Linked DNA regions of Coturnix japonica. The protein of the gene in region 2 interacts with the protein of the main gene of each other region in a biochemical or structural test. Links are inferred from orthologs where the notes say so. Each region holds a gene or a part of one and is shown on either strand. Other genes may lie near its edges.

Region 1 (3,588 bases), on a different chromosome or scaffold from region 2:
CTTGCTCGGTGATTAGGTGCACCGGTAAACAACACATTTGCTTTCTGAAAAGCCCTTCAGAGTTCAGGCTCCAGCATGGCCTCCTCCTGAGGTCCTTAATACTAGAATGTGAACAAGACACACAGGCTTGTGTTCTCTTCTGTAAAGCAGTAAGCAGGGAGAACTGTCTGAATGATATTTGTACTTAAAGTTTACTAACTAACTGTTGGGGAGTTGAATCATTCTGCTCTTTGTCTGTTTAATGAATTCTTTCTACTACTACAGCAGAAGCAGGGGGAAGCAAAGCCTCAGTCTATACTTCTGCTATCAAAATAAGCAGTCTTGGAAAACTGAACCAAGATGTTTACCTGGAATGTCTTATTTATGAGATGAAATAATACAAAATATGAAACTTGCCAACCTTAAAAAGTGCATCTTTCAGGCTCCGAAGAGTTGTTCCTAGCTCTAAGTCTTCTGCAGAACTAAACCAGTCCAGCAGTACAACATAATCAAAGTGTCCTCTCTTCTTCCATGGATCTTTAGAATCCTCTGGGAGTCTAGCTTCAATCCAGCTAGCAGTAACTCTGAAATGTATCAATATGCATTGAAATGGGAGATGGCAACACTTCATCCAACAATACATAGAACCATATACATTTATGAGTCTGGATAAATTACATGCTCTCTGGATTTAAGTTGGTACATGCAAGAACAGTCTGGATGTATTTCAACAATTTGTATGTATTGGGGACTCTGAAACTAAAGTGTCGGAGCTGTAAAAGCCTATGATCTTTCTAATGCAGAGTTAGGTTTTTTTTTGTTTTAAGAGAAAGCAAGAAACACCATTTCAGGGAAATGAAATGTTTCATTATCATTTAACATTATTCCATACCCAGCACTGATAGCTTCTTCTGGGACGCTGACAGATCTTGGAATACAGGACTCCTGGTAGTCCTTCAAGCTTCGAGCATCCATTATAATCAATTCAATGCTTTTGTCTGTCATCATTGCAAACAGTTTCTCGGCTGTGACTGCTCCTAGAAATATAAAAACTGTTAGATACTAAAAGCTACAAAAAAGTATCATTGATTCTGGAGTAATCAAGACTGCAAACCGATGACATAGAACAGAAAAGTACACAATACGTTAATACACGTTCTTCCCACAAAGCCATGGAGCTGAGAGTGCAAAGCAGATTGATTCTTTTGCTCCTGCTACTGCAGTGATTAACAGCTAACCTGCTGAAATTGACAATACTGGATGCTTGATGATAAATGAGTTTAATTTGTCATGGACTCTTTTAACTCTTATAGGTAAGCACTCATGAGCTACATACTGCAGATGTTCTCTAGAGTTCTCTGCTGAGAAGGAACACTTTCACATTTATTACAGGACCGGGATGGGCAGGAGGAATTTCTTATTTAACTGAAAAAGTTGTCACTCCTCAGCCTTGCTTAGATTTTTTTTTTTCTTATCAGTTGAAAAGACATTTTTGTTATCTATGAATTTAGTTATTAAATTAAAAAACAACAACAAAACAAACCTCAGGTCCACTTTCTAAGTTCAAGAAAAGTCATGAGGATGTAAATACAGAGCTTTGTCACTAAGCTGTTATTACTGAAATACAGGATAGCAAAATTTTATCCAAATATTCTGACAGTGAAATAACCTTAAAGAACTGCAGCAGCAGAAGCAATAGGTACATAGGTATGTAGAGACTTTTATCACACCTGTGTAAATGTTATTATCTCTTACCACTAAAACTCTCAGCCTGATCCTTTCTTTCCAGTGAATGCTTCGTTTCACCATTAATCTGTGTTGTACAGAAGGGAAAAAACAGTAAGTTAAATCAGGAACTAATCCTGAGAACCAAGGTGGCCAGCAGACACTGATTCTCATACAACTGGAGGGAAGCTGGCCAAACTATGCCACAGGAAGCAGTCTAGGAAAAGAAAGCTTCTTTACAAGACTGTCTTAAAGACTTTGAGGTTACTAGAACTCAACTTTTTGAGTTTTCTTTGGAAAGGTAGTAGGGAGTATAAATTAATTAAACAAAAACAACCCACACCAAAACACGATTCAGTACGATTCTGAGCTGGAGATGGCTAATAAATATCAAACAGTAGATTAAAACTATAACTGAAATAGAGAGCTTGCAGATATCTTCAATTACCCTTTGGCTTTTTCCTTTGCAATCCACTGTACTTTCTGATGAGGTTTTGGCTGAACTCTTTCCGTCGTCTTTTGGTTCTTGCTTTTTCTGCAGCTCCTGTCTGTCCCTCTCTTCAAGTTTTTTCCGTACTTCAGCTTCCTCATATCTGTGGAAACATAAGTGTTGTGTATCTTCTTCCCCGCCCCCCCTCCAATATTACATAATAAGCTGGCAGTAGTTAATTACTACCAGCAATAGCAAGTCCTGGTGTGGGGTGGACTTGGGTGAAATACTCCCCAGCACCCACTCCTTGCAGCAAACCCCCATTTTCATCCATGACTGCTTGTATTGTTTCTCCTGCTTTTGGGATGATTTTCTTCTCCTATTCCACAGCCATTACTCTTAAGGCTTACAATTCTTTTTCTTTAAACTGCTGTCACTAGTTGCAATAGATTCTTTATTTCATGGAAGCAAGAGTACAAATGGGTCACTTGCAAGTAAACTTCCATATACTGTGACAGTCATCCAAGCTATTTTATGTGGTTTTGCAACAGTGCAGATAATAGTTAGACAGTTATCTCAGTTCTCTGAACTTCCTTTTTTTGGGAAGTTGGATCAGAACTACCTGTACAGCAGTGGTCATCTTCAGGGTGTAAGCTGATGTTATAGTTCTGTTGTGCCCTCACCAGTTTCCCTGCTGTTCAAATTTTAGGTCTACATTTACTTCTATGCAAGAATCACATACACATTTTTCTGCAGACCGAAGTCCTGCATGTAGATGTTCCTTTCAGCCTTGAAAGTTAACCTCCCAGCCACTTGCTTTTGTAAGGACAATCACAGAAGTGTAAACCAGTGGCCTCTGTACTACAGCTTTTAGATCAACTTCAGGCTGTTACACTCACAATGCTGTTAAAGGGCATTATATTATATTTAACACAATTGAAATGATGAGGCTTAATAGTGCTCTACAAAGCAATAAGTGTTTGGAACTAACAGTGTTGATGACTGAGCCAAACAGTAGGGCTTGAGAACTGAATCATATCAGTAACTGCTCATTCTAATTAGATGATGACTAATAAGGATTCAAATGACAACTACTATGCAGCTTTATTTCATATTAAACACTGCGTTAATAAACTAGATCATGACATCAAATTCTGCCTCAAACTCTGTTCTGCTAATTGGCCACTAATAGGAAGCAGGCTGCAAGCCTAATTTTATTTCTTAAACAGACTTCTAATTTACAGTGACTTTGCCAAATCAAGAACAGAGCTTGTTAGCCGTGGAAGCTAATGGAACTAAAGAATATTTAAAGCTTTTGCTGAGTTCAGTCCATATGGTGTATTTACCGATCAGCTTCCCATGTACCCTGAGGTACACAGCAGCTCCTTCATAGAAGTAATTCTAAGACTATACAGTGTGTCAGCAGCTCCCCTTTGAGTTCACAACTAACAGTT
Region 2 (4,112 bases):
AAAAACTGCACCAAGGACACTGAGAAGTCACACCTAAGTGAGGTAATGGAACCTCAGCACCACCCATTCTAACACAGTGCAGTGTACAACCCACTCCCACTACCTTAGTCCTACAGCCTTAATGATGGACAGCAGCTTCTGAAGTCCTTACAGGAACACTGCATCCTTTCTGAAAATACAGAATCACGTTAAATTCTAGCAAGATTTAGTGACACAGTACTAGTGCTTAGACTTAAGACTTTAATCCATGTTAGGATTCACCCTCAAATACCTCCACAACCCACATAAAGATGCTTAAACCACCATGGAAGAAAGCCAAAAGGAACGTGTCATTTATATATACTGGGTTTACTAGCTTGAACTGAGACAGACAACAGAACGTAATGTGCAACAGAAAACTTTATTAGCATTTCAACATACAGATCAGCAGTTACTTAAGCTTGCGTTTAATTTAAGACATCAGAAAGACTACAGTGCAAACACAAGTGCTGTGCATCTTGCTCGACAAGACTGCTGACAACAACTAATAGCCACCCCTGAGGCGCAGCACCAGGTGCAGGGTGGACTCCTTCTGGATGTTGTAGTCAGACAGGGTGCGCCCATCTTCCAGCTGCTTGCCAGCAAAGATCAGCCTCTGCTGATCGGGAGGAATGCCTTCTTTGTCTTGGATCTTGGCCTTCACATTTTCAATGGTGTCACTGGGCTCAACCTCAAGGGTGATGGTCTTACCAGTGAGGGTCTTCACAAAGATCTGCATCCCACCCCTGAGGCGCAGCACCAGGTGCAGGGTGGACTCTTTCTGGATGTTGTAGTCAGACAGGGTACGGCCATCTTCGAGCTGCTTGCCAGCGAAGATCAACCTCTGCTGATCGGGAGGAATGCCTTCCTTATCTTGGATCTTAGCCTTCACGTTCTCAATGGTATCGCTGGGCTCAACCTCAAGGGTGATGGTCTTGCCAGTCAGGGTCTTCACAAAGATCTGCATCCCACCCCTGAGGCGCAGCACAAGATGCAGGGTGGACTCCTTCTGGATGTTGTAGTCAGACAGGGTGCGCCCGTCTTCCAGCTGCTTGCCAGCAAAGATCAGCCTCTGCTGATCAGGAGGAATGCCTTCTTTGTCTTGGATCTTGGCCTTCACGTTCTCGATGGTGTCACTGGGCTCAACCTCAAGGGTGATGGTCTTGCCAGTCAGGGTCTTCACAAAGATCTGCATCCCTCCCCTGAGGCGCAGCACAAGATGCAGGGTGGACTCTTTCTGGATGTTGTAGTCAGACAGGGTGCGCCCATCTTCCAGCTGCTTGCCAGCGAAGATCAGCCTCTGCTGATCGGGAGGAATGCCCTCTTTGTCTTGGATCTTGGCCTTCACGTTCTCGATGGTGTCACTGGGTTCAACCTCAAGGGTGATGGTCTTGCCAGTCAGGGTTTTCACGAAGATCTGCATCCCTCCCCTCAGACGCAGCACAAGATGCAGGGTGGACTCCTTCTGGATGTTGTAGTCAGACAGGGTGCGCCCGTCTTCGAGCTGCTTGCCAGCGAAGATCAACCTCTGCTGATCGGGAGGAATGCCTTCTTTATCCTGGATCTTGGCCTTCACATTCTCAATGGTATCGCTGGGCTCAACCTCAAGGGTGATGGTCTTGCCAGTCAAGGTCTTCACAAAGATCTGCATCCCTCCCCTGAGGCGCAGCACCAGGTGCAGAGTGGACTCTTTCTGAATGTTGTAGTCAGACAGGGTGCGCCCGTCTTCCAGCTGCTTGCCAGCAAAGATCAGCCTCTGCTGATCGGGAGGAATGCCTTCCTTGTCTTGGATCTTGGCCTTCACATTCTCGATGGTGTCACTGGGCTCAACCTCAAGGGTGATGGTCTTGCCAGTCAGGGTCTTCACAAAGATCTGCATGTTTACCTGAAAAACATACAGAAATTTTAGCCTTAGCTAAAAAGCACTTTAAGTCCACATACACCTTACAAACGAGAAAAAAAAGAACAACTTACTAATTTGCATTACGTTACATCATTTAGGATTTCAATAAGCTATAACTAACCCTGTTGTTCCTGTTCCCCACCTCTTCCTTGAGGTAGGACCCTATAATTCTGAATGCCCTGTGCTGGCCGAGCCCAGCACCCCCCTTCCTTTAACTCCAGGGCACCCCCCCGTGCTCTCACACTGGCACAACGGCTGCAGCCGCGCTGACTCAGCTCCCGCTTCCGGGCCGCACAGCGCCGCGCTCCGCCATCTTTATAACACCCCACCTTCCTCAGCCACAAGCTTCCCCTGCCCCCCCCCCCCCCTCGCACCGTTCTTCAAGCGCCCTTAGGCCGGATTAGACCGTCCACAACCACCTCCCCTCACAAATACAACCCCAAGCGGACTCACTCCAACCCCTTCTGCCTTGAAAACAAAAAACCACCGTCCCTTCTCTCCCCCCCCTCAGCGCTCCCCCCACACAACTCACGTCTCCGGCCCTGAGCTCCGATCAATGCAATCCCGATCCCAGTCGCTGTGTTCTGCGCTGTGACGCAGCGCCGCCCCTATTTATGCTCCTTGCGCCGCACAGTCCCCGCCCTCAAAGCGCTGACGTATCCCTCCGCCTCTCAAAGTAGTCCCAAACGAACCCCCCCCCGGTACCAGCAATACTCACCTCTCTACCGCTCCAATCCCTCCTCCAGGAGTAATGGGGTCCGTGATGTCCTCGGTAGAGAGAGGAGACCCTTCAAAATCCCAAAAGTTCTGAGGGCGCGGATGGATCTGGAGCTGCGGTGAAACGGCCTAATGAAACGTTCTAATCCCAACGGTGGCAAGATCGGCGCTGATTGGCGCAGCAGTAAGAAAGGTGGCTGCTGATTGGTTGTTAAGGAAAGATCCGTTGTAAAGAAAGCTCTGGAAGATTCCAGCGTTGCAGCGTTCTGATTGGTGCGCGGTGAGGTCAGCGCTGTTGCTAGGGCGGCCCTGCTCTGCGGGGGCAGATTTCGGTGGGGTGGGGGGGTGTGCGCATGCGCAGATCCGTAGAGTGGGGGCAGGGAGAGGCCGGGCAGGCCCCGCGCCCATGGGGACGTTGTGTTTAGGCCGCATCTTTTTGCCTGTTATTTGCTTAGGGAAGGGTCTGACAAGGAGAAAGGGGGCAAAAATACCCCTTAATCACAGCAGGCCCACTGCTGCTTTCAGAACAGGAAGCACTGAACAGGTCACACAGCAGCTTCCTGCTTTGAGCCGACGTGGCGGCATGTTTTGTGTTCATTAAAGCTCATTATACCTTTCAGAACAGCTCTTATATCATAACCAGAGCATGCAGAAAGCAGGAAGGTTTCTCTGCTGTTTCATTTACTGCTCGGTGAACACAGATGAACTTGCTGGTAAATCCTCTGCTTAGGAAGCACGAACGTGTGTGTGAATAGCAGGACTGAACACAGGGCTGTATTTCCCCCAGTTAAAAAGAGAGCTTTCACTTCTTTTAGCAAGGCCTGTGACTGCTCAGCACTTGGTTTACAGTAAAAAGGACATAAATCTTCCCAGCAGTTACTCAGAATGTAGACGGGAAGGGAGGAAAAGAGAAACTGGAAACCTCGGAGATACTATTCAGCTACATAGATTTAGGACTACGTAGATTTAGGACTACGTAGATTTAGGACAAAGGCCTTACTTAAGCAACGCTGTTTCCTTAATACTGCCAACTTTGCTCACTGTTTCCAATAGGCTCTTTTCGTGTACATAGCACCAAAGCAGCAGAGGTTAGAGCCAAGGCAGCTAAACAAGGAGCTCTGAGAGGAAAGCCATGAGAAACTAGCAATAATATTTACAAATGTGAAAGGCCACAGCTGCTAAACTGGATATTAACCACAACGCTAAGCTAAAGTCTGCCCTGGGTGTTTTGGGTTTGCATGAAGGATTTCGGCACTTTCAGAAAATGCCAGAGCCCTCCCTTCAACAAACAAGCAAAAAAACTATTGCCAAATCCTATGAGTAAACTATTTACGAAAGCAGTTGTTTTCTAGTTAAATATATCTAAGTACTTAGCACACATACTGCCCTTCCTCCAGTAGCTCCATGTGAATAAGCAACTGACTGGACTGTGTATAAATAAATGCAAACCTGTAAATACAGGACGTGTATCCTG
Region 3 (3,588 bases), on a different chromosome or scaffold from region 2:
TTCATGAAACTGTTTACAGTGCTTACTCGATATATGCATGTGTGTATACAGCTGTAGTTGTCAATTACTGCTCACTGCTTGTTTTCTTTAATAGGGGCTAGCAGTGTTCCAGCATTTTTTTCTGAAGATGACTCTCAATCGAATGATTCTAGTGACTCGGATAGCAGCAGCAGTCAGAGTGATGACATGGAACAGGAGACCTTCATGCTTGATGAGCCTCTGGAGCGAACCACAAATAGCTCACATGCCACTGGTGCTGCCCAGGCACCCCGTTCGATGCAGTGGGCTGTACGTAATACCCAGAACCAGAGAACCACTAGCACTGCTCCTTCTAGCACATCGACCCCAGCAGGCAAGTATGAGTAAAATGCATGTGTGAATGTCACTTAACTCCTGGCTTTGCTCTTCTGTTTTCTTCTGTTCGTATAAGAATGAAATGTTATATATTCCTTTAAGAAGGATAGCAATGATATGTCTTGACTGTTCCAGTTCTGGGTTTGAATTTAACAAAAGCAGGGGCCTAGTCTAGTTCTTGAGACGTTACTATCTATATTAAGCATATTTATAATTCTTTTTTGTAGATAGTAACTTATTAATAGGTATAGTTGTTAGGGTCAGTAATATTTACAAGTTTTTTTCTTTCCTAGAAATGTTAATTATATTTGTTAATACATAAAATGCATGACAGAGTTTAAATTCATTAATGTCATACTTTTATATTTAGCAAGTTCAGCAGGCTTGATTTACATTGATCCATCAAACCTACGCCGGAGTGGTACCATCAGTACGAGCGCTGCAGCAGCAGCTGCAGCACTTGAAGCCAGCAATGCAAGCAGCTATTTAACGTCTGCAAGCAGTTTAGCACGAGCATACAGTATAGTGATACGGCAGATATCTGACCTAATGGGTCTCATTCCCAAGTACAATCATTTAGTGTACTCCCAGATCCCAGCTGCAGTGAAGCTGACTTATCAAGATGCAGTTAACTTGCAGGTAAGAATATCCAAAACTTTGCAGATAAGCATAATTTCAATGCAGTGGAATTTTTTTTGAGGTAGGATGATAAAATTGATGAGGTTGAAAGGGACCTTTGGAGATTAATTAGACCAAATTCACTGCAGTGTAAGGCTTTTGAGGACATAGAATTTCTCAAAGAGTGGAAACTTCTTAACTAGTCTGGGCAACGTATTTCAGTGCTGGACAGATCTCACAGTGAAAACATTTTTTTCATTATGTTTAAATGAGTTTACTAAGTATTTCAGTTTGTGCTTATTGCTCTCTGTCTCTTCACTGGATACCACTGAGAATATTCTGGCTTTCTACCTTTTCACCAGGTACAGAGTCATTAAGAACCTACTGAGTTTGCCTCTTGAGGCTAAGTGGTACCAGCTCCCCTGGGCTCCCCTTGTTTGAGAGAGAATGTAGACTGAAGTAGCTCTACTTTACTAGTCTCATTAAATTGTTTGTATTTTGATATAACTATTCTTTAAAAAAAAGAAATTTCTGTGGTTTTTTTTGGTTTGGTTTGTTTTTTTTAATCTACTTAAGTTTGACTGGCACCTGATTAATAGTTGGAGTTTGTGTGCTTTGGATATGTTAGCTCTTGCCCTTTTCTTTTTGACCTGAGTATCATAAAATACAAAAGCTAGTGAGGTCCAAATAACTGAGGTAAAGAATTCTCCAAATTTACTTTTTTGCTGTTGCTTCTTGCAGGCACATAATCATCCCTTCCCTCTTATGTGCATGTTTTTGGTACTGTGCTCTTGACTGTTGGTCTTAAAAAGTATGTGTGAAATGCAGAATGCCCCTTTAGAGAAATAACTGGAAGGGAGGATTAGTAACTGGCATGCATAGGCAGAAACTAATCTCAGACAGTAAAAACATCTGAAGGAGGAACTTCAGAGGGTTTTGGATGTATTTATAGCTTTGAATAAGGGCATAGTGTATGGAGGCAAATAATCTATACAGAAGTTAGTACAGAAATCCGCTGTTAGGGGTATTACTGCTGGTTTGGAGAGTTCAGGAATTCAAGCAGTGATTTATTTATTTATTTTTCTTCTGTTTATAGTTCTGTATTCTGGGATGTGGAAATGAAGTAATTACTTGTAGTTGTTCTATGAGGTATCTCTACTGGCTGTATGTTCACAGACCAAAATCCCCCAAATCTCTGCATCTGGGGGTGCTGCGTGGTCATAAGGCGAGGCTTAGAAAAGGTGCCCAAAGAAAAGAGAGGGATGGTGAGAAAGCTTTACAGACCTCAGGCTAGCAAGTGATGAGAGCTGTACACCTTAATGGTAAACCAGCTGTCTCAGTAAAGGTCTCAGAATTATTTTTTAAACTTTTCACTCTTGAATGGGCTTTTACAGCCCCTTTGTGGGAGAAGTGATGTAAATGTAAAAGCCATGGGTGGGGGCTTATGTTGAAATTGCATTCTTATCATCTAAATCTGTTGTTGGTAAAACTCACTAAATCTCGTTCTGTATAGAATTATGTAGAAGAAAAGCTTATTCCTACTTGGAATTGGATGGTTAGTATAATGGACTCCACAGAAGCTCAGCTGCGTTATGGTTCTGCATTAGCATCTGCTGGTGATCCTGGGCATCCAAATCATCCTCTCCATGCTTCTCAGAACTCAGCTAGAAGGGAAAGGATGACAGCCCGGGAGGAAGCCAGCTTAAGAACACTCGAGGGAAGAAGGTATGAAAATAGTCTGATTGCTGCATGTGCTATGAGTGCTATTTTTACAGTCAAATCTTTACATTCACAGATATTTAAGGATATTTAAGGATTTACTTTGGTAATATAGCAGTAGTTGTTTGGATTTAAAGTGGCTTTTTGTGTTGTTGGTACAATTTTGTTTATTCCGATTTCCCATGAAATCATAATCATTACTCTTATTGCACTTCTTTGAATTTTGACATCTGTATTTCAGATGCAGAGACTGAAATGGAAAGGATTCCTGTGGTGCCTAATTCTTTTGTATTCCTTTCTTTCACCAGGCGCGCTACTTTACTCAGTGCCCGTCAGGGAATGATGTCAGCACGTGGTGATTTCCTCAACTACGCACTGTCTTTGATGCGTTCTCACAATGATGAGCATTCAGATGTTCTTCCTGTTCTCGATGTCTGTTCACTAAAGCACGTAGCCTATGTTTTTCAAGCGCTTATTTATTGGATTAAAGCGATGAATCAACAGACAACATTGGATACTCCTCAGCTGGAACGGAAAAGGTATCATACAAGTCTGACTCACAGAAACAAACTTTTGTAAATGTTGCACATGCCCCCATCTTTCCATCTTTGAAGGTGCTAATCAGCAGCTCAAATAAATACGTTTATCTGTATACATAGCTGACTCTGAACGGAATGCCTCCTATTTATTTCCATGGAAACTACAACAGATACAAAGAGCACAGTACTGCTATTTGATAGGGCAGATTTTCAGCTGCAAAATGCTTTTTCAACATGGTTACCGCCATTACCTGTGTGCTTTTTACCAGTGATGAACGGGAGCTGGCAAGCCACACTTGTAAAAATCTGTACCAGTGGAGGTGACCCACACTTTCACAACTGCTGTGATGGCATCATT
Region 4 (4,029 bases), on a different chromosome or scaffold from region 2:
GCTGGGAAGTATTGGTAATGGTTGGACTAGATGATCTTCTAGGTCTTTTCCAACCTTGATAATTCTGTGATTCTGTGAAATTTCTCAGCTACTTAAAGTGCTGACATACACACTTTCTCTTGCACACACTAAAGAAAAGCTATCTTCAAATGATATTGTTTTTAAAAGGCATTATTCTTACTGTTCAAAGAATTAGAAATCTCATTATTAAAGGAATTTCTGGAATAAAACTGAGACAGTTGACCTTAGCAAGTTTTGTTGGTTTTCCCTGGTGCTACAGTTTCACAACTGGATTTCACACGATCGATACATTCATTTTTCTGAAATAAATAAGGATGAAGTTGAACACGACAGCAAGAGCAGATGAAATTCACGCAGGCAGAGGTAAAACTCATGTCTACAATAAATCACTCCTTCCTCTTTTCCATAGAGAAGAGCTTAACATTGCTTCCTGCTAAGAGTCAGTCTGTGTGAAACCTACACATTCCTACCTACTATAGGACTTCTTTGTTGTCATTGTTCTTTCCCTATCTCCAATTTGTGCATATGTCAATAAAAAGCCAACAGCATTTTCCCCACTGTAATAAGCATTTTGCTCCAAGAGATATGACTAAATATTCCTAGCAGTTGTGTTAAGGAGGGTTTGCATGCTTTGTTTTATTAAAATGACTTTGTTGTTTGGGACAGATGCATGTATGATTCTGTACATTTCCCATATTTTGTGAACTTTATCACAGAATCACAGTATTAACAAGGTTGGAAAAGACCTAGAAGATCATCTCGTCCAACCATTACCGATACTTCCCAGCCAAATCATATTCATCAACACAACATCCAGACGTTTCTTGAACACTCCCATGGTCGGTGACTCCACCACCTCCCTGGGCAGTGCATTCCAATGCCTGACTACCCTTTCTGAGAAGTAATACTTCCTAATGTCCAGCCTGAATCTCCCCTGGTGCAGCTTAAAACCATTCCCTCTAGTTCTATCACTGATTACACGAGAGAAGAGGCCTGGGCAACTGTATTCCTGAGACAAAAACTACTGCGCTATTCAGTTAAACTATACAAAGTATATAGAAGCTTCTAAAATATCACATGTAAGACTACAAAGGACATTTATAACAGTAAAACCATGAGAATTTTGTTTAAAAATTACTGCTTTTTATGTAGTCAAATACACTGTAGGAAAAAATCAGCTTTTTTATATACAAATTTTTAGTAACAGATACTCTACAATAGCCTGCAGTCAGTACTGACATGCAAAATGCCAATACTCAAAGCACATGCCTTAAAACAGCTTTATTTCCTGTGCAGGAAACCCCATGTCAGAGCCCAGACAACAGCAGAAGACTTTGGAAGTTATTTAATAGTAAAAGTATTCGTAAATTCTTTAAAACTCTGATATCTGGTATTATGCTAATTGTTTTAATTGCAGTAATCCATAGCTGAGTAAATACTGAACTTTCTCTAATGTATCTATTCCAGCTCAGCCTGACATAGGTAATAATATTTCTTTTTTGGACTGCTCTTTGGACTTGCAAGAGCTGCTCTATGTCCAATTCGTTGTAATCTTTCCAAATTGGACTCTGTGCATCCCACATCTCCATAAGTCATATTACCAAGTGGAGAGAATGTTCTCCTAGCATGAAAAACAATCTCCTTGAGGAATCAACAATAAGGTACCAAAATAAGACATTTCACTTGCTATTTTTTTTCCTGCTTTGTTATAGTCTCAATCCTTTGACGAGCCAGTGGATTGGGAACAGAAATGAATCGGCCTGGACAATGTCTAGCCTAGAGAGAGCACTGAGGTCAATTGATTCCTCTGTCCTGAGCTCTGTCAATCCCATTTACATCTTATAAGCTCTCGGGAGTGAGAAAAGAATGAAAGAGGCCCTGTAGCTCTCAGCTTTTTACAGCAGAAAAAGATCTTATTTTTCAAGCCCTTCATGAAACAGAAGTGAGATGGTGTAACTATGCTTCTTAAATTTTTCCATTCGTGACTTGAAGAAGTATTCTTGTCTATTCGTTTATTACCTGCTACCTCAACATTCCACCCAACAGATTCTGTATTGGTTACAGAATTCATTCTCTCCTGCTTCCAAGTTACACCTCGCAGCTCTTTGCCTTTTCATTTGCCCACATGATAAACTGGCTGCCCACTGAAAGAGAACAAGACGCTTCACTCCTTATCCCCAGCACACTGCAGTCACCAATCAACTGCAGTACTTTTCCTCTAAGGCCAGACCTCTGTCCCCTTGCAGAAAGAGCAAAAAGACACCACCTTCACTTTGGAAAGATGCTACACTACAACTGCTGTACACAGACGTGTAGATGGTGCAGCAATACAGATCCTTGCTACATTTTTTTTTACCAGGGCTGGCAACATCCCCTCCATTCTCTCCACACACACACACACACACATCCACCCCTTCCTGCCTATTAGCACAGTCTTCTCCACCCCACCACACTGATTCCCAGAACCGATGTACTTTCTCACCCCATTGACGACGTAACTCAGGATCTCACGGCGGCGTCGCAGCCCTAAAGACAAGAGGGTCCATCCCCGTGGCCGAGCCCAGCCCAGCGGTGCTGCCGTTTCCCTTTCTCCCCCATCGGATGAGTCCTCCACCCCACTCCACTCGCTCCCACCATTGACAGCTCACCCAATCCCCGAGAAAGGAGATATACCCAGCCCTCATGAGGCGTCCCCACCCGCAGACACAACACTGAGCTCCCCCGCCACAATCCCAGGCCCGCCGAGCCCCCTCACAGACCTGTGGAGCCAGCCATCTTGTCCAAACCCCCCCGCGCCGGGCCGGGCCTGCACGCCAAGCGCGTCACTACCGCCAAATGCATACGGCACTTCCTGCATAGGGGCGGGCCGCTCCGAGGGGCGGGCGAGGAGGCGGATATATGGGGTGGGGCCTGGCTGTGAGGGAAGGGGGTACACAGGGAGCCGATTGAGGCTGTTGTCTTTCCATATACGAAACGTTGCATCTGCTCAAGCTTTTAGTTCTTCCATTGCATTCTGTTTCTTTTGACAAAGCTGCTATTTCTGAGCAAACGGGAATAAGCAGCGCTTTCAGTGCTTGCAGTGATAGAATGAGAAGTGAGCTTTCCGAGTACAGCAAACAGTATGAACACGCACACGCAGCTATAATAATTAAAGACTTTTCTCCTTTATTATAACATCCTGGACATTAGGAAGTATTACTTCTCGGGAAGGGTATTCAGGCATTGGAATGCACTGCCCAGGGAGGTGGTGGAGTCACCAACCATGGGAGTGTTCAAGAAACATCTGGATGTTGTGTAGATGAATATGATTTAGCTGGGAAGTATTGGTAATGGTTGGACTAGATGATCTTCTAGATCTTTTCCAACCTTGATAATACTGTGATACAGCGGTCACTGTAGAAGATACCACAGCCTGGAGTGGAAAAAAGAAATACAACGTGAACTGTCCTTATTCTTCTGGTCGAGATTCAGCCCATTTGTTTTTCTGAAGGATCTGCTTTTTCAGGTGATTCTATACTAACAGTCAATAATACGCCCATGTGTCTTCTCAGACATGATACAAATAGGGCAGCAAGGCTACCAACCCAAAGCAACTGGCTCTCAGTAACTCTGGAAGCACACAAAGGACTCCATGGTCCATCTGCATCTACACCTGCTGACTTGATGTAGGACACGTGGTTGCTGGCAACAAATTATTTCGATGTTAATTGCAGACGGAGGAAATAAAGAAAAGGCAGGATGCAGGAGGAAGAAATGGTATCCATCCCATTCCTGAGGATGACTGTTTAAGTAATATTTGGAACAATGTCTGGAGAAAAGACAAATAAAGAATAATATTTCCCCTTTTCTCTGTTTACAGCAAGCACAAACATATGATAACTGTATCTTAGAGCAAGTCTACTGCAAACATTATTTTTATCTATTTTCGTGTAACTTTAAGTGAAATAAAGGATAGACATCTGAATGAATGGCAGTACAATCACAAATCAAGCAAAGCTCAATTCCCTT
Region 5 (4,267 bases), on a different chromosome or scaffold from region 2:
TCTGTGCTATTCCAGCATGGTTTGCTCTGACTGTTCTGATTAGCAGTACTGCTGCTTGACTCGGCACCGTTATTCTCTTGATTAGAAGCAGGAGTCACTTTGCTTCTCTGTCCTCCGTGTTCCACATCAATATCAACTTCAATACCTGGGAATACATTTGAGACCAAGAAAAAACCATTAGATTTTTGAAAGCACGGTTCTAAGAAAAAAAGCAAACTTTAATCCTGGACTAAGTGCTGCAGCATGACTGTAACCCTACAGCTCCCCATATAATACGTATGAATTCAAGTGCAAAGCGTTCTTTTAGTTAGCTCTGATGCACCAATTAGTCATCCTGCACTAAAAAGACAGGCCATGTGTTTAGAGGGTCAAGGCAGACCTTAAGTATGTGTGCCTAAGCAAAATACCACTGTAACATGATTTTAAATCATCGGTGATTTGGGGTTATATAATTAATCCCTTCCTTGGATCCTTACAAAGGACTCTGAAAAGGTACTGAGTAGATGGCCTATACCCACACAATTTTAGTACACAGAAACTTAAGGCTTTTGAGGCTGAGTAGCACAAAGTGGTTCTGGTACCAGCCACAACAGCTGGCTGCTGCTCCTGGTGGGAGCAAAGCCATTCTCAGGGATGGGGATGACACACCATAAGTCACTTACCCAGGGGGCTCAGAAAAGCTGCCACACTCTCCCCAACGTTCTTTAAGAAGGTGACATTGGGGTCCTGGGGCTGGCTGTTAGTAGAAGCTTCTAGAAGAACAATTTGTGTTAGTACACATAGCAGCCCATAGGGAAAGAGCACATCCCCAGGAATTCTTGGTGCTTGTTTTGTGTCACTCATCTGCACAGCACCAAGGCAGCAGAGAGACCAAAACCACCTCTGGAACAGAAGACCAGTGGCATTAGCACTGTTAAGGCTCATCAGCCATGCTGAAAGCACATCTAAGAGCAGAGCAGTGACATGCTTGACCTAATAGCTCTGCTTGGTCTGGTTCCAAATAGGCTCTCCATAACCTCATATATTGTGTGGCCACCAGACCACACCAGTGTCCTGGAAAGGGCTCATTATTTCACACAAATTGGATTAGTTCCCATGTCTATTTTCCCACCCAGATCCCACACTGGGCTGTGAAGTCCCAGCTTCTCTGGCTCCTCCACTACTATTCTCCTTTAGCAGACCATCTCCTCTTACCTCCAGCAGCGGGTGGACTGGAGGCAGCAGCACTGGCCTGGGCTTGTTCCGAGTTCTGGCACGGAGCTGCAGGTGCGGGATACCCCCAGCAGTGCATCCAGGGGAAGGGTGGAACACCATGCCGCATCTTACGGAGCCAGCGCCCTCTGGGAATCCACTGCAAAGGGTAACGTTCATGGGACCAGGTGAAACTTAAAGCTTACATTTGGGCAGCATCCCTTTTGTTGGTTCTGCTCCATAGGTTTTGCTCACCTCAAACGGATTCAGCAGCGGGCTCTGAAACATCACCATGTTGTGCTCCTTGTGGATGCCTTTCCCCTCACAGGTGCTGCACAGGTCGTAGTCTGGGCAGACGGTGCACTTAAATCGAGCGCCCACCACCGGCCCCTCGCAGCCGTCACAGATGACATTGGGGTGCACCATGTCCCGGGGAGGCTCCTGGCTGCACTGGGAGCGATGTTCACGCCTGCACTCCTTTTTCTCTATTAAGGAAAGGGATCTTTGCATCAAGAACGAGGGTACTATTTAAAGGCTGGAAATCGGGCAGAGGGGAAGGAAACACAAACAGCCCTTGTCACAGCAGTATTGACTTACTAGGGCAGTTTATTTTTACACTGGCTGCCAAACACAAGCTGGGGGCACATAAGAACATAAACCAAGTGCAAAGGGGTGGTTCAAGGATACCCGCTCTTCAAACACTTTGTTTTAGATCAGTGCTGCACCACCCTGCCTGGAGCATCCTCCTACCTTGTGGAGTGCTGCGAGAAGAGAATGTTTCTGAACAGAGCTGAGCAGTGCCAGGGGACACTGCAGGTGAGAACTGAGACAAGAAGGGCGGCCTACACTACTCACATCACAGCCTACAGATAAAGCTTTGTAGGTGTCCAAGTGAACAGAGCGGACTGGGGAATGATGTGCTTAGGAATAAGCTGGTTTTGGGGTTTCTTTACATGTCATGGCACCTGCTGGCAGTACGGCAGGGGGTTCCTAGGACCATCCTGAACACTGCAGCGCTCACTGTGCCAACCCAGGCCCCGGAGCCAGGAGGAACCCCTGCACACAGTGGGTCTGTGCCCGTCTTTACCTCGCCCTTTATGTAACCTCCCCTCTGAGCTGCAGCACGAGGATGAGGGACAGGACCGGGATTTTCCCGGTCTCGGAGCCGTGCCAGCAGCACAGAGCGCTCGGTGCCACCGGGCTGCGGGGCGTTACCTTTGATGTACACACGGAAGACCCCGTCCTGCACGTAAGGCATGGCCATATCCAGCTCCTCGTCGGTGGAGAACGCGATCAGGTCCCCGTCTTCATCTGGACAGAGCAGAGCACACCGTCAGGCGCTCGGCCCGCACCCACCTCCCGGACAACGAAGGGGGCCCCGACCCACAGCGAGCCCCCCCGCCCCGCTCACCCTTGTAATGCATACGGAACGCGGGCGGCGGCCCGGCCCGCAGCAGCCCCTGGAAGAGCTCGGCGACGCGGTCGTGGACGGGCTGGTAGCGGACGGGAGCAATGAGCGAGAAGCGGCGGATCTCGCGGGCCGCGTCGTCCTTGCCCAGCAGGTAGGCCTTCACCGTCAGCGCCGCCATGGCTGTGGCGCAGCACGAATTGCTGCGGGACAACGAGCGGCGGGAGGCGGCGCGGGGCGGGCGGTGCTGCGGGAGGGAGCGGCGGCACCGAGCCTTATAGAGCGGGGGGACGGGCCGGGGTGGGCACAGCCCTGGGTTAAACCACGACCACTGCCATTAGGCACCGCCCCGCCGCCTGGAAATACAGAGCCCATATTCGCCCCGAAAGTAATGCCTCCTATTTATCTGCATGGAAACTACAACAGCTACAGAGATCACAGTGACGCTGTTTGACAGAGCAGGTTCTCAGCTACAAAGCACTGTTTTTCAACGCGGTCACCACCACTGTGCTGTGCATTGTCATCAGTGGTGAACACGAGGCTGCATGCTGCTCTACAGGTGACTGTGAAACACACGGCCATGCCGTGCTCACAGTGCTGTGCTCACAGTGCTGTGCTCACCCACTCGTTGGGCTCCATAACACTCAGCAGCTGTTGGCTCCTTCACCCTCTGCTGCCATCCCACCTGCAAATGGGAGGCATTACTTTTGGAGCAACCCCTTTGCCTCAGCTCTGTAGCACTGATTCCCTCCAGCCCACAGCCTGGCTGCCCACCTTGGGCTGAGGCAATCACAGTGTGTAAGCCATGCTGTGCTGCACTGCAGGGTGAGCGTCCCCCCACGATGGGTTGTGTGTGCCACAACACGGCCTGCCGTGTGGATGTGCCCTTGGTGCACATGTGGCTGCTCTGGGATCACAGCACGCTCCTGGGACGTGGCACTCGTGCAGCATGAGGTGACAAGTGAGAGCTTGGTGTGAGCCACAGCCAGGCATCAACATGAGTCCTTGCTCTCCTCCATGGGCACTTCCATCCAGTAAACATGGAGAGCGTCCCATCTCAGCTGCCTGCTGAGTCACGCTGGGCTCTCTGGCCGTGACATCATTCACTTTCTCAAAGCACAAAGCAAACAAGGCCTGCGGTGAGCAGTGAGCTCAGCTCAGTCACGGGACGGGGTGACTCAGCATTCCCTGCTCCTCCTCGAGGTGGGGATTTCCTCCTCCAGGCCCTGACTCTGGTGTTTCCCCGTGGCCTGGTGCTTCGGCCCTGCCGTGCTCCCATGTATTCCAATGGCACTCACTGCATCCTCCCATCCCACAGCCGGACGGACAGACAGATGTCTCCCCACCAACCCCAACTGCACACTGCTCTGCAGCCTGAGATTTGGCTTAAGCTCTTGTTAACCTGAGCCTGTATTAACCTGGAGGACCCAGGCCTGGAATTTATCTGGCAGCACTGAATGTTTTCTTGCTCTTCTTTAGGAACCACATTCCATCCATAGAACAACCCTTGCTCAAAAAACCACTTGTCAGCCCCGGCTTATGAGCAGCTCCCCAGATGGACGGAGCAGGAGGACAGCAAAGAGGATGGGAATAAAACTGTTCCAGTTTCACGACTCCAAGTTGCAGAGGGAGGGCTCAGAAAGGAGCATTCAGCAGCCCCGCAGCTCT
Region 6 (4,259 bases), on a different chromosome or scaffold from region 2:
TGACCCATTAACATTCTTGTACGCTTTTGTATTAGCAACAGAGAGCTTGGGGAACTCCCGCTTTGAAGCTAAGTTCATTTTCTCACTAGCATCACCGCTAAAGAGAGGAAAGAAGGTATCGTGACGGGGTGATTTCTCAAACTTGATCTCATTTTTAGGTCTTGGCACTGTGCTTCCTGCCCAACGATGCTGCGAATCACAGCTCTCGCTGTTTTTAACACTGCTGCTGAACGTTAAGCTTTTCTCTGAGAGTCCACTGCCTGCTCCTCCCAGTCGATACCCCTTCCCACTAAAAGGCTTTGGATCTTTCTTATCACCCAAGTGGACCAGGCCTGCAAAGAAGAAGAAAACACAAAAATCTAACAACTTTTTTCATATATAAACCACCAATTTACGTGAGAAAATCTGCAGCTTGAAAACACCGCAGCAGAATAAACCTCATGAACAATACAGTTGAGAAGCCTGGAAATTAACAAAATAGGCCCTGTTCTTTCCTACTTAATATTTAATACCCAATACAAAGCTCACATCATGATGTTAGTTCAAGGGACTGTTTGGATAAGAACAGTTGGGAAAACAAAGAAATAAATGATTTTAAATACCTTTGTTGGTTGACTTGGAATCCTGAGGTTTTCCTGCCTCTGTTTTCTCCTTGTGTTTCTTAGAGAAGTTCTCAGGTTCTTTCACTTTTGTGAACGTACCTCCGCATTTCTCTTGATGCTCAGCCCACCAAAAGTCTCGTGCAGAGGGTGCTCTATTCATTGAACGTTTCACATACCCAAAATAAGGTCTTCTATACTGACAGGGGCCGTTGCATCGCCACCAGTGCTGCCGGTACGAATCTACCTCGTCATGAAAATTATGATAGATCTAAGTGTTAACAAAAAGATACAACAAGCTCCAATCAATCAGAAGAATTCTTACTATATATTCATGACTATATATATATATATTTTACATTAAGTGAACTTTGCTTACTGTGACATTGGCTCCAGTCAAACGATTAATGCGACGCATGTGTTTGCAGAACTCCGGCCCGTGAGACTCACGATCTCTGTCGTTGTTAGTAACAAAAAGCAGAGCATGGATCATCTCATGCAACAGTGTCTGAAACAATGAAAATCATCAGTTATTAATGGAAGAGCGTTACAGAATCACAGAACAGCATCACAGAGAATCACAGAATGACCCAGGTTGGAAGGGACCTCAAGGATCATGTAGTTCCAACCCCCCTGCCTGGCAGGGCCACCAAACATACACCTTTACTAGATCAGGTTGCCCAGGGCCCCATCGAACCTGGCCTTGAATAGGTTGGGGCATCCACAACCTCCCTGGGCAGCCTGTTCCAGGGCCTAACCACTCTCCTAGTGAAGAACTTCCCCCCAACATCCAACCTAAATCTTCCCTCTTTCAACTTAAAACCATTTCCCCGTGTCCTGCTATTGTCAGCCCTTTCGAAGAGTTTACTCCCCTCCTGGGAATAAGTTCCCTTCAGGTATTGAAAGGCTGCAATGAGGTCACCCCGCAACCTTCTCTTCTCCAGGTTAAACAAGCCCAACTCCCTCAGCCTGTCCTCATAGGGGACGTGCTCCAGGGTAAGCATTACATGTAATTTAAAAACTAAGCTTGAAATGTTTTATCTTTTTCATTCATCTCTGCACTGATCTCATCTTTATACGTCATAAAAACACAACATTTATTCTACCTGTGAGATCATTAACTCTGCTTCCATATAACACTGAGTGATGGTCCACAATAATTATTCTATGTGTGAAGTTGTTAATTCTACTCCAGTGCAATGCTGAGTGTCCTTGCAATAAGAAGAAACAATCCTGAAGCTCGTCAGACCTCTAAGGAGGTCACACCCCCACGAACAAAGAGCTACATGTAAGGAGGCTGAAATTACAGCACCTCTGTTCATTAAGCAAACCTGAGCATTCATAATATCTGAGTCACCATATGTATGAACTCCAGTATGAAACATAAGATGTGGGAGGTGAGGTGCCATCTGTTTCATGTTTCACAGAATCACAGAATTGTAGGGGTTGGAAGGGACCTCTAGAGATCATCGAGTCCAACCCCCCTGCCAAAGCAGGCTCCCTACACCATGTCACACAGGCAGGTGTCCAGGCGGGTCTTGAATATCTCCAGAGAAGGAGACTCCACCACCTCCCTGGGCAGCCTGTTCCATTGAACAGTTCCAGTTTGGATATGTCAGCAGCCTTCGTGTACCTCAACCAGGTCCTTCCTCGGCCTTAACTTCAGGAGCGGCTCACTCAGGCGGATAGAACACATCCCGCTGTTCCCTTCGTATTTACACACTCCAGCGCAGCTGAAAGAGACCAGGGAACAAAACATCGTAAGCGATGCTCTTATTATGTATAGTCAGCTGAGAACTGTCACAGAGCGGCTCAATACTGAGCAGCCCCCCTCCAAACGAGAGGAGGGTGCAGAACCCCATCAGCAGCACCCGGGGGCTCCCAGCCCCACCTCCCCCCTCACCCCCCCATGTCGTACAGGGTCATGCGCGGGCTCCACGACACCTCCACGGCCGCCAGCCGCCCCCAGAAGAGCGCCTGGTTGAACTGCACGAACAGGCCGTGCACGTCGGGGCTGGGATCCAGCAGCTCCCAGGCTTCATCCACCACCGACAGCGGACGGAGGGACAAGGGGTCCGGCGAGGCCTCTACACGAGCCGGCGCCGCCTCCTCCTCCGCCTCCCACAGCTCCTGGAGCTGCAGCGCCAGAGCGAAGTCATCCTCCTCCTGCTGCTGCTGCCACTCTCGTTCCACACCCGCCGTCAGTCCCCGTGCGGCCATGACTGCGCCAACCAGCTCCGTTGAGCTGCGCATGCACACCCCGCACTGACGCACTCATTGTGCGCCGCGCTTCCCCGCCCGCCCCTTCCTCCTCCCAAGGTGTCGGTGTCGGTGTCGGTGTCGGTGTGTGTGAGCATGGCGCTGGCGCTGGGGGAGGGCGGCGGTGGCAGCCGGCTGCGGCGGCAGCTGGAGTCGGGGGGCTTCGCGGCGGCGGAGTACGTGAAGCAGCTGTCGCAGCAGTCGGATGGAGACCGGGATCTGCAGGAGCACCGGCAGCGCATCCAAGCGCTGCAAGAAGAGACGGCGCAGAGCTTGAAGCGCAACGTCTACCAGAATTACCGGCAGTTCATCGAGACGGCGAGAGAGATCAGCTATCTGGAGAGCGAGATGTACCAGCTCAGCCACATCCTCACCGAGCAGAAGGGCATCATGGAGGCCGTCACGCAGGCCCTGCTCCTCCAAGCCGACCGCGACGACCCCGCCCTGGGCGCCCGCCGCGCCGCCGCCGCCGCCGACCCCTTCCTGCCGCTGTCGGCCAAGGAGGCCGCGGCCAGCGAGGAGGGCCGGCAGCGGACGCTCACCACCCTGCTGGAGAAAGTGGAGGGATGCCGCGACCTGCTGCCCGAGAGCCCCGGCAAGTACCTGGTGTACAACGGCGACCTGCTGGAGTACGACGCCGACCACATGGCGCAGATCCAGCGGGTGCACGCCTTCCTGATGAATGACTGCCTGCTGGTGGCCACCGCGCTGCCCAACCGCCGCGGTGCCTACCGCTACGATGCCCTGTACCCCCTCGAAGGGCTGGCCGTGGTCAACGTCAAGGACAACCCGCCCATGAAGGACATGTTCAAGCTGCTCATGTTCCCCGAGAGCCGCATCTTCCAGGCCGAGAACGCCAAGATCAAGAAGGAGTGGCTGGAAGTGCTGGAGGAGACCAAGCGCAACCGAGCCCTGAGCGAGAAGCGACGCCTGGAGCAGGAGGCCCTGCCCCGGCCCGCCCCGACACCTCCTGAGTCCACCAACCCCTTCGAGGAGGAGGACGAGGAGGAAGAAGAGCCCTCCGTTGAGGAGGAGGTGGTCGACCTCTCGCTTGAGTGGATCCAGGAGCTGCCGGAGGACCTGGACGTTTGCATCGCTCAGCGGGACTTTGAAGGGGCTGTGGACCTGCTCGATAAACTCAACGAGTACTTGGGAGACAAGCCTGTGAGCCAGCCCGTGAAGGAGTTGCGGGCCAAGGTGGATGAGCGGGTCCGGCAGCTTACGGACGTGCTGGTCTTTGAGCTGTCTCCGGACCGCTCGCTGCGAGGAGGACCACGGGCCACACGCCGAGCCGTGTCCCAGCTTATTCGCTTGGGCCAGTCCACCAAGGCGTGTGAGCTCTTCCTGAAGAACCGGGCGGCCGCGGTGCACACAGCCATCCGACAGCTGCGCATTGAAGGT
Region 7 (3,588 bases), on a different chromosome or scaffold from region 2:
GTTCCCGGGGACATTAGAAATGAAGAGGAGCAGGCCCCATTCATAAGGAGCGATTTGGTACCACGCGTCTGTTCTGCATCTGCAAAACAAAGCAGACATTGGTAATTTAACTAAAATGCTACAAGTATTGCTAATAACTGCTTCTGTTTCTACAGTGTCATCACAGAATGTGAAGGTAGTTTGCTTATTTTAATTCATTACATATCACAGTCCCTTACAGTTGAGACAGGTATGATATCTAAAGACAAGAGGTAAATACCTGAAGGTTTTACTGCTATCCCATCCTTTGTTCCAGGTTTTGTCTCTTCAGAGCTTTTCTGATTCAGATCATTCTGAGTTGATTTATGAACAGGAATGTGATATTTGTAGATGTCCATGATTAAGAACTCATTGAACTGTACGTGTTCATGACGTTTCAGAGGAGTACCTTGGTTTGACCAGCTCAGTCTTTGCAGATGGATACACAAACACTGAGGGAGCTTCAAAGTTCCATACAAAAGAGAAGTCAAAATACATTTTAAGTGAAGAGAAACAGCTGTTAAAAGCATTCTAATGGAACTAAATGGTGAGTCCAGTAGATAAGGAAATAAGTCACTGAACTGTTGCTCCTTTACATGCTATTTCTGTATCTAAGCTTACTGCAATAATATTTCTGAGTCATAAGAAAAATCTCACAACTTTTGAGATCTCTAATAGTGCTTCTATTGCTCACTAGGCAGTAGGATAGAGCATGTTAATTATTTTCTCCAAATGGGGGAAGGAAAAAAAAGGGTAAAAATCACACACATTCCTCAAAAGCCCATCTCATTTAGTAAGGTAGGAATGAGCACTAGAATTGTGTCAGTAAGTTGCTGCCAGGCATTTCCTAATATGCCATAACTAATGGCATCACATAGTAAGAGTACCCAGGGAAAAAAGGTCAAGGAGTTATAAATATCTGACAGACAAAGTCATGCCTTTGTCAGTAATGAAACTGTATTATGAATGGCCCTGAATTATATGATCACAGAACAAGAAACTTGTAAGAACCTCTAATATAAATCTCCTATTCTTTAGCACTATGTTCTCTTGTTTAAACCTTCTTTATTTAGAACATTTTAACTCTGAAGTGCACATATTATCCTACAAATAGGTTGTATATATGAGTTGCTTTACTCACCAAGGGAATAAAAAACTAATACAGGGCAAGCAAACTGCACCTAAGCCAAACTCAAGTGTTTTGGTGAATAACAGTAGAATACTCACATTCTTTAAGCTAAAGAGTTCAGAGCTTTGTTGGATTGAGGCTTCAATGCCTACAAATGGTTGACAAAAAGCTGTCTTTTTTTTTTCTCTTTTTAAGGGGAACAGAGAATTGTAATAAGTAGCAGAAGTAGACATCAAGCAAACAGATCAAATAAAGAGATTACTATTTAACAGGATTTAAAAATGGATTTGGAGGGTCAGCTTGCCTTACCTTCCCTAGCTTTAATTGCTTAACAAATGTTGTTCTCTGGTTTTCTATGCTCTGTCCATTCAGAGTCCCTTCTGCCTGAATCTGAAAACAAAAGGAAAACAGAGAAGTTTGATTACATGCCATTATCAAATTACAAGCAATAATCCTGCTGCAGGTTTGCATGCTGCATATCAAGCTACCTTTGGGTCATGAATATCTTCTACAATTTGCCTCTCTCAAGAGCTGTTGGCCTATTCTGATAGATCCACGTTTTAACACCAAGTTGAGCAGAAATGAGCTCTTAGAAGACAAACCTAGTTTACATGTAGCCATTTCTGTTAGGTTTCAAACAATCCATTTTGGCTTTCTATCATCGAAGTACAGGCAAATATAAAGTAACATTTAAAAACAGGACTTTTTGTTGTTGTTGTTCTCCTAAATATTACCCAAATACCAAATAAAGCACTTGTAAGTTTTATTATGTTAACAATAAAGCTTCAAAATACTGTGGGGTAATAACTATTTTAAGAATAATAAATTCCAGGCAAGCTAAAGGCTTTCCTGAAGTCATGAAGACATGCATTACAATGACATACTTTAGTGCAGTTGTCACACACAACATCCTTCACAGATTCAGAGGAGATGAAGTGATGGAGGCAGTGATCCAGTGTCATAGGATGACCCTTAGAACAACAGCAAAAGAAATTAATTGCAGACATAAGGTAACTGTTACAGTACAAAGGTCCTGCACATTTTGCCCCCAGCTCTACAGTGTTTTATCATTTAAAGATCTTCACAAAGCCAGTGAGAAACAGAAACTATTTCCAGTTGAATGCCTGTGCTGGTTAACTGGCATTCTCTCACCACAGAGACAGGGCACTGGAAGGTCATCTGAGTCTGCCAGTGACGCACAACCCTCAGGATGCAATCTGGTCTGTTCAAATTAACCAAAAAAAACACCCCAAATAATCCACTAGGAGAAGGAAAACTCAGTGCCAACATCATGCCCATAATACTAATTGCTCATTTGCCGCATTGCCTTAGTAGTAAGGTACTGTGTTAACACATCAGGATTGTTTATGAAGGCAACAATAGTTATAGTAACACCTCGTTTAGGTGTTACTGAGGCTGTAGAAGGATAATAGTGAAGATAAAGCCCTGATGGCAAGGCAGCAGTGCTGGCTGGGTCACCCATCAAAGGCAGATACATACCCACATAGCGGCTGGAATACTCAGTGAGAGACTGTCAAACGTATCGTACCTCACAGGACTCTGCAAGAGAATATTTCAAATGCAGTGAGCAAAAATACCTGCAATGATCTAAAGAACAAAACAGGTCAATCACTGCCTCCCAACAGTGTTCTGCAAAGCAAGCATATCTGTGTATATCCAGTGGAACAGCATTAAAACACTTGTTTTCCCCACCAGTTTTAGTGCTAGGAAACACCTGATGCAGTGCACAAGGTACTACTCTGCCTGTTTCTACTGAAGCTGCCCCTGCTCACTTCTAAATCTGCATGTTTTTGAGAAGTACCTTATAGTTGGATGTATGAATTACATTTGTTTTCTGTATTTTTGCTCTATTCAGGTGATCTTCATTTCCTCAGGTGACTGCAACTTAATTTGCCTTTGCATGCGCCATCACAATACCACATGCTGAACGAACAGCTAGTCCTAAAGTGCTACCCGTGTGAGTGGATCTTCAGTATATAATATCTGTGATATTGGATACTGAATGTAATAAAACAATTATTCTGCCTGGTAAGACAGCTGTCAGCCACAAGAAGTGCATCACACTTCATTTTCTTTGGTATGCTCAGCAATGTTTTCTTGTTCAATACAAAACGTCATACAAGTAGCTGAAAAAAATAATGGCTGAAGCTGTTATTCCTGCAAACTATTGAGCTTAAACCAATTATGTTGGAAACAAAGGATGATGGTTTCACCTCAGAACACACTGAATCTCAGGCATCATTTTTCATGTATACCTACACACAACAAGCTTTCTTATACCTGGTGTTCACAGTGTTTGCAAACCATGTTGCTCGTCAGCCTTCCATGAAAAGGATGCTGAGACTTCCAGTGATTTGACATAGGAGGAAGAGATCCTGAAACACAAAGTTGAAATCATCCTTTTATCTTCACGTTCATCA

Evidence for each region.
Region 1: of the proteins of UBC (region 2) and USP8, one has a biochemical effect on the other in vitro, tested with the Homo sapiens proteins (9 studies listed by BioGRID, with this or other methods). The link is inferred for Coturnix japonica from reciprocal best matches to the Homo sapiens genes UBC and USP8.
Region 3: the proteins of UBC (region 2) and UBR5 form a complex in vitro, tested with the Homo sapiens proteins (7 studies listed by BioGRID, with this or other methods). The link is inferred for Coturnix japonica from reciprocal best matches to the Homo sapiens genes UBC and UBR5.
Region 4: the proteins of UBC (region 2) and UBE2V2 are reported together in a solved structure, tested with the Homo sapiens proteins (6 studies listed by BioGRID, with this or other methods). The link is inferred for Coturnix japonica from reciprocal best matches to the Homo sapiens genes UBC and UBE2V2.
Region 5: the proteins of UBC (region 2) and SQSTM1 form a complex in vitro, tested with the Homo sapiens proteins (32 studies listed by BioGRID and IntAct, with this or other methods). The link is inferred for Coturnix japonica from reciprocal best matches to the Homo sapiens genes UBC and SQSTM1.
Region 6: the proteins of UBC (region 2) and SPRTN form a complex in vitro, tested with the Homo sapiens proteins (5 studies listed by BioGRID). The link is inferred for Coturnix japonica from reciprocal best matches to the Homo sapiens genes UBC and SPRTN.
Region 7: of the proteins of UBC (region 2) and USP30, one has a biochemical effect on the other in vitro, tested with the Homo sapiens proteins (5 studies listed by BioGRID, with this or other methods). The link is inferred for Coturnix japonica from reciprocal best matches to the Homo sapiens genes UBC and USP30.

The regions. Positions count from the first base shown.
Region 1 is NC_029525.1:9,622,946-9,626,533, forward strand, and holds part of USP8 (ubiquitin carboxyl-terminal hydrolase 8), read right to left. Parts: intron 2,298-3,588; coding exon 2,153-2,297; intron 1,793-2,152; coding exon 1,735-1,792; intron 1,017-1,734; coding exon 872-1,016; intron 564-871; coding exon 401-563; intron 1-400. UniProt on the Homo sapiens protein: Hydrolase that can remove conjugated ubiquitin from proteins and therefore plays an important regulatory role at the level of protein turnover by preventing degradation. Converts both 'Lys-48' an 'Lys-63'-linked ubiquitin chains.
Region 2 is NC_029534.1:5,348,119-5,352,230, reverse strand, and holds UBC (polyubiquitin-C), read right to left. Parts: upstream 2,801-4,112; 5' UTR 2,640-2,800; intron 2,579-2,639; exon of another isoform or gene 2,454-2,578; intron 1,904-2,453; 5' UTR 1,898-1,903; coding exon 524-1,897; 3' UTR 382-523; downstream 1-381.
Region 3 is NC_029517.1:117,682,739-117,686,326, forward strand, and holds part of UBR5 (E3 ubiquitin-protein ligase UBR5), read left to right. Parts: intron 1-94; coding exon 95-352; intron 353-724; coding exon 725-993; intron 994-2,485; coding exon 2,486-2,697; intron 2,698-2,999; coding exon 3,000-3,230; intron 3,231-3,588. UniProt on the Homo sapiens protein: E3 ubiquitin-protein ligase involved in different protein quality control pathways in the cytoplasm and nucleus. Mainly acts as a ubiquitin chain elongator that extends pre-ubiquitinated substrates.
Region 4 is NC_029517.1:97,620,203-97,624,231, reverse strand, and holds the start of UBE2V2 (ubiquitin-conjugating enzyme E2 variant 2), read right to left. Parts: upstream 2,887-4,029; 5' UTR 2,863-2,886; coding exon 2,781-2,862; intron 1-2,780. UniProt on the Homo sapiens protein: Has no ubiquitin ligase activity on its own. The UBE2V2/UBE2N heterodimer catalyzes the synthesis of non-canonical poly-ubiquitin chains that are linked through 'Lys-63'. This type of poly-ubiquitination does not lead to protein degradation by the proteasome.
Region 5 is NC_029528.1:4,616,651-4,620,917, reverse strand, and holds the start of SQSTM1 (sequestosome-1), read right to left. Parts: upstream 2,858-4,267; 5' UTR 2,781-2,857; coding exon 2,603-2,780; intron 2,503-2,602; coding exon 2,407-2,502; intron 1,677-2,406; coding exon 1,447-1,676; intron 1,352-1,446; coding exon 1,195-1,351; intron 753-1,194; coding exon 663-752; intron 146-662; coding exon 1-145. UniProt on the Homo sapiens protein: Molecular adapter required for selective macroautophagy (aggrephagy) by acting as a bridge between polyubiquitinated proteins and autophagosomes.
Region 6 is NC_029518.1:35,753,697-35,757,955, forward strand, and holds the start of SPRTN (sprT-like domain-containing protein Spartan), read right to left. Parts: upstream 2,854-4,259; 5' UTR 2,853-2,853; coding exon 2,518-2,852; intron 2,333-2,517; coding exon 2,233-2,332; intron 1,108-2,232; coding exon 979-1,107; intron 871-978; coding exon 603-870; intron 333-602; coding exon 1-332. Other genes in the region: EXOC8 (exocyst complex component 8), read left to right, coding at 2,955-4,259. UniProt on the Homo sapiens protein: DNA-dependent metalloendopeptidase that mediates the proteolytic cleavage of covalent DNA-protein cross-links (DPCs) during DNA synthesis, thereby playing a key role in maintaining genomic integrity.
Region 7 is NC_029530.1:5,778,850-5,782,437, reverse strand, and holds part of USP30 (ubiquitin carboxyl-terminal hydrolase 30), read right to left. Parts: intron 3,544-3,588; coding exon 3,449-3,543; intron 3,197-3,448; exon of another isoform or gene 3,024-3,196; intron 2,708-3,023; coding exon 2,648-2,707; intron 2,119-2,647; coding exon 2,032-2,118; intron 1,538-2,031; coding exon 1,457-1,537; intron 566-1,456; exon of another isoform or gene 480-565; coding exon 260-479; exon of another isoform or gene 80-259; coding exon 1-79. UniProt on the Homo sapiens protein: Deubiquitinating enzyme tethered to the mitochondrial outer membrane that acts as a key inhibitor of mitophagy by counteracting the action of parkin (PRKN): hydrolyzes ubiquitin attached by parkin on target proteins, such as RHOT1/MIRO1 and TOMM20, thereby blocking parkin's ability to drive mitophagy.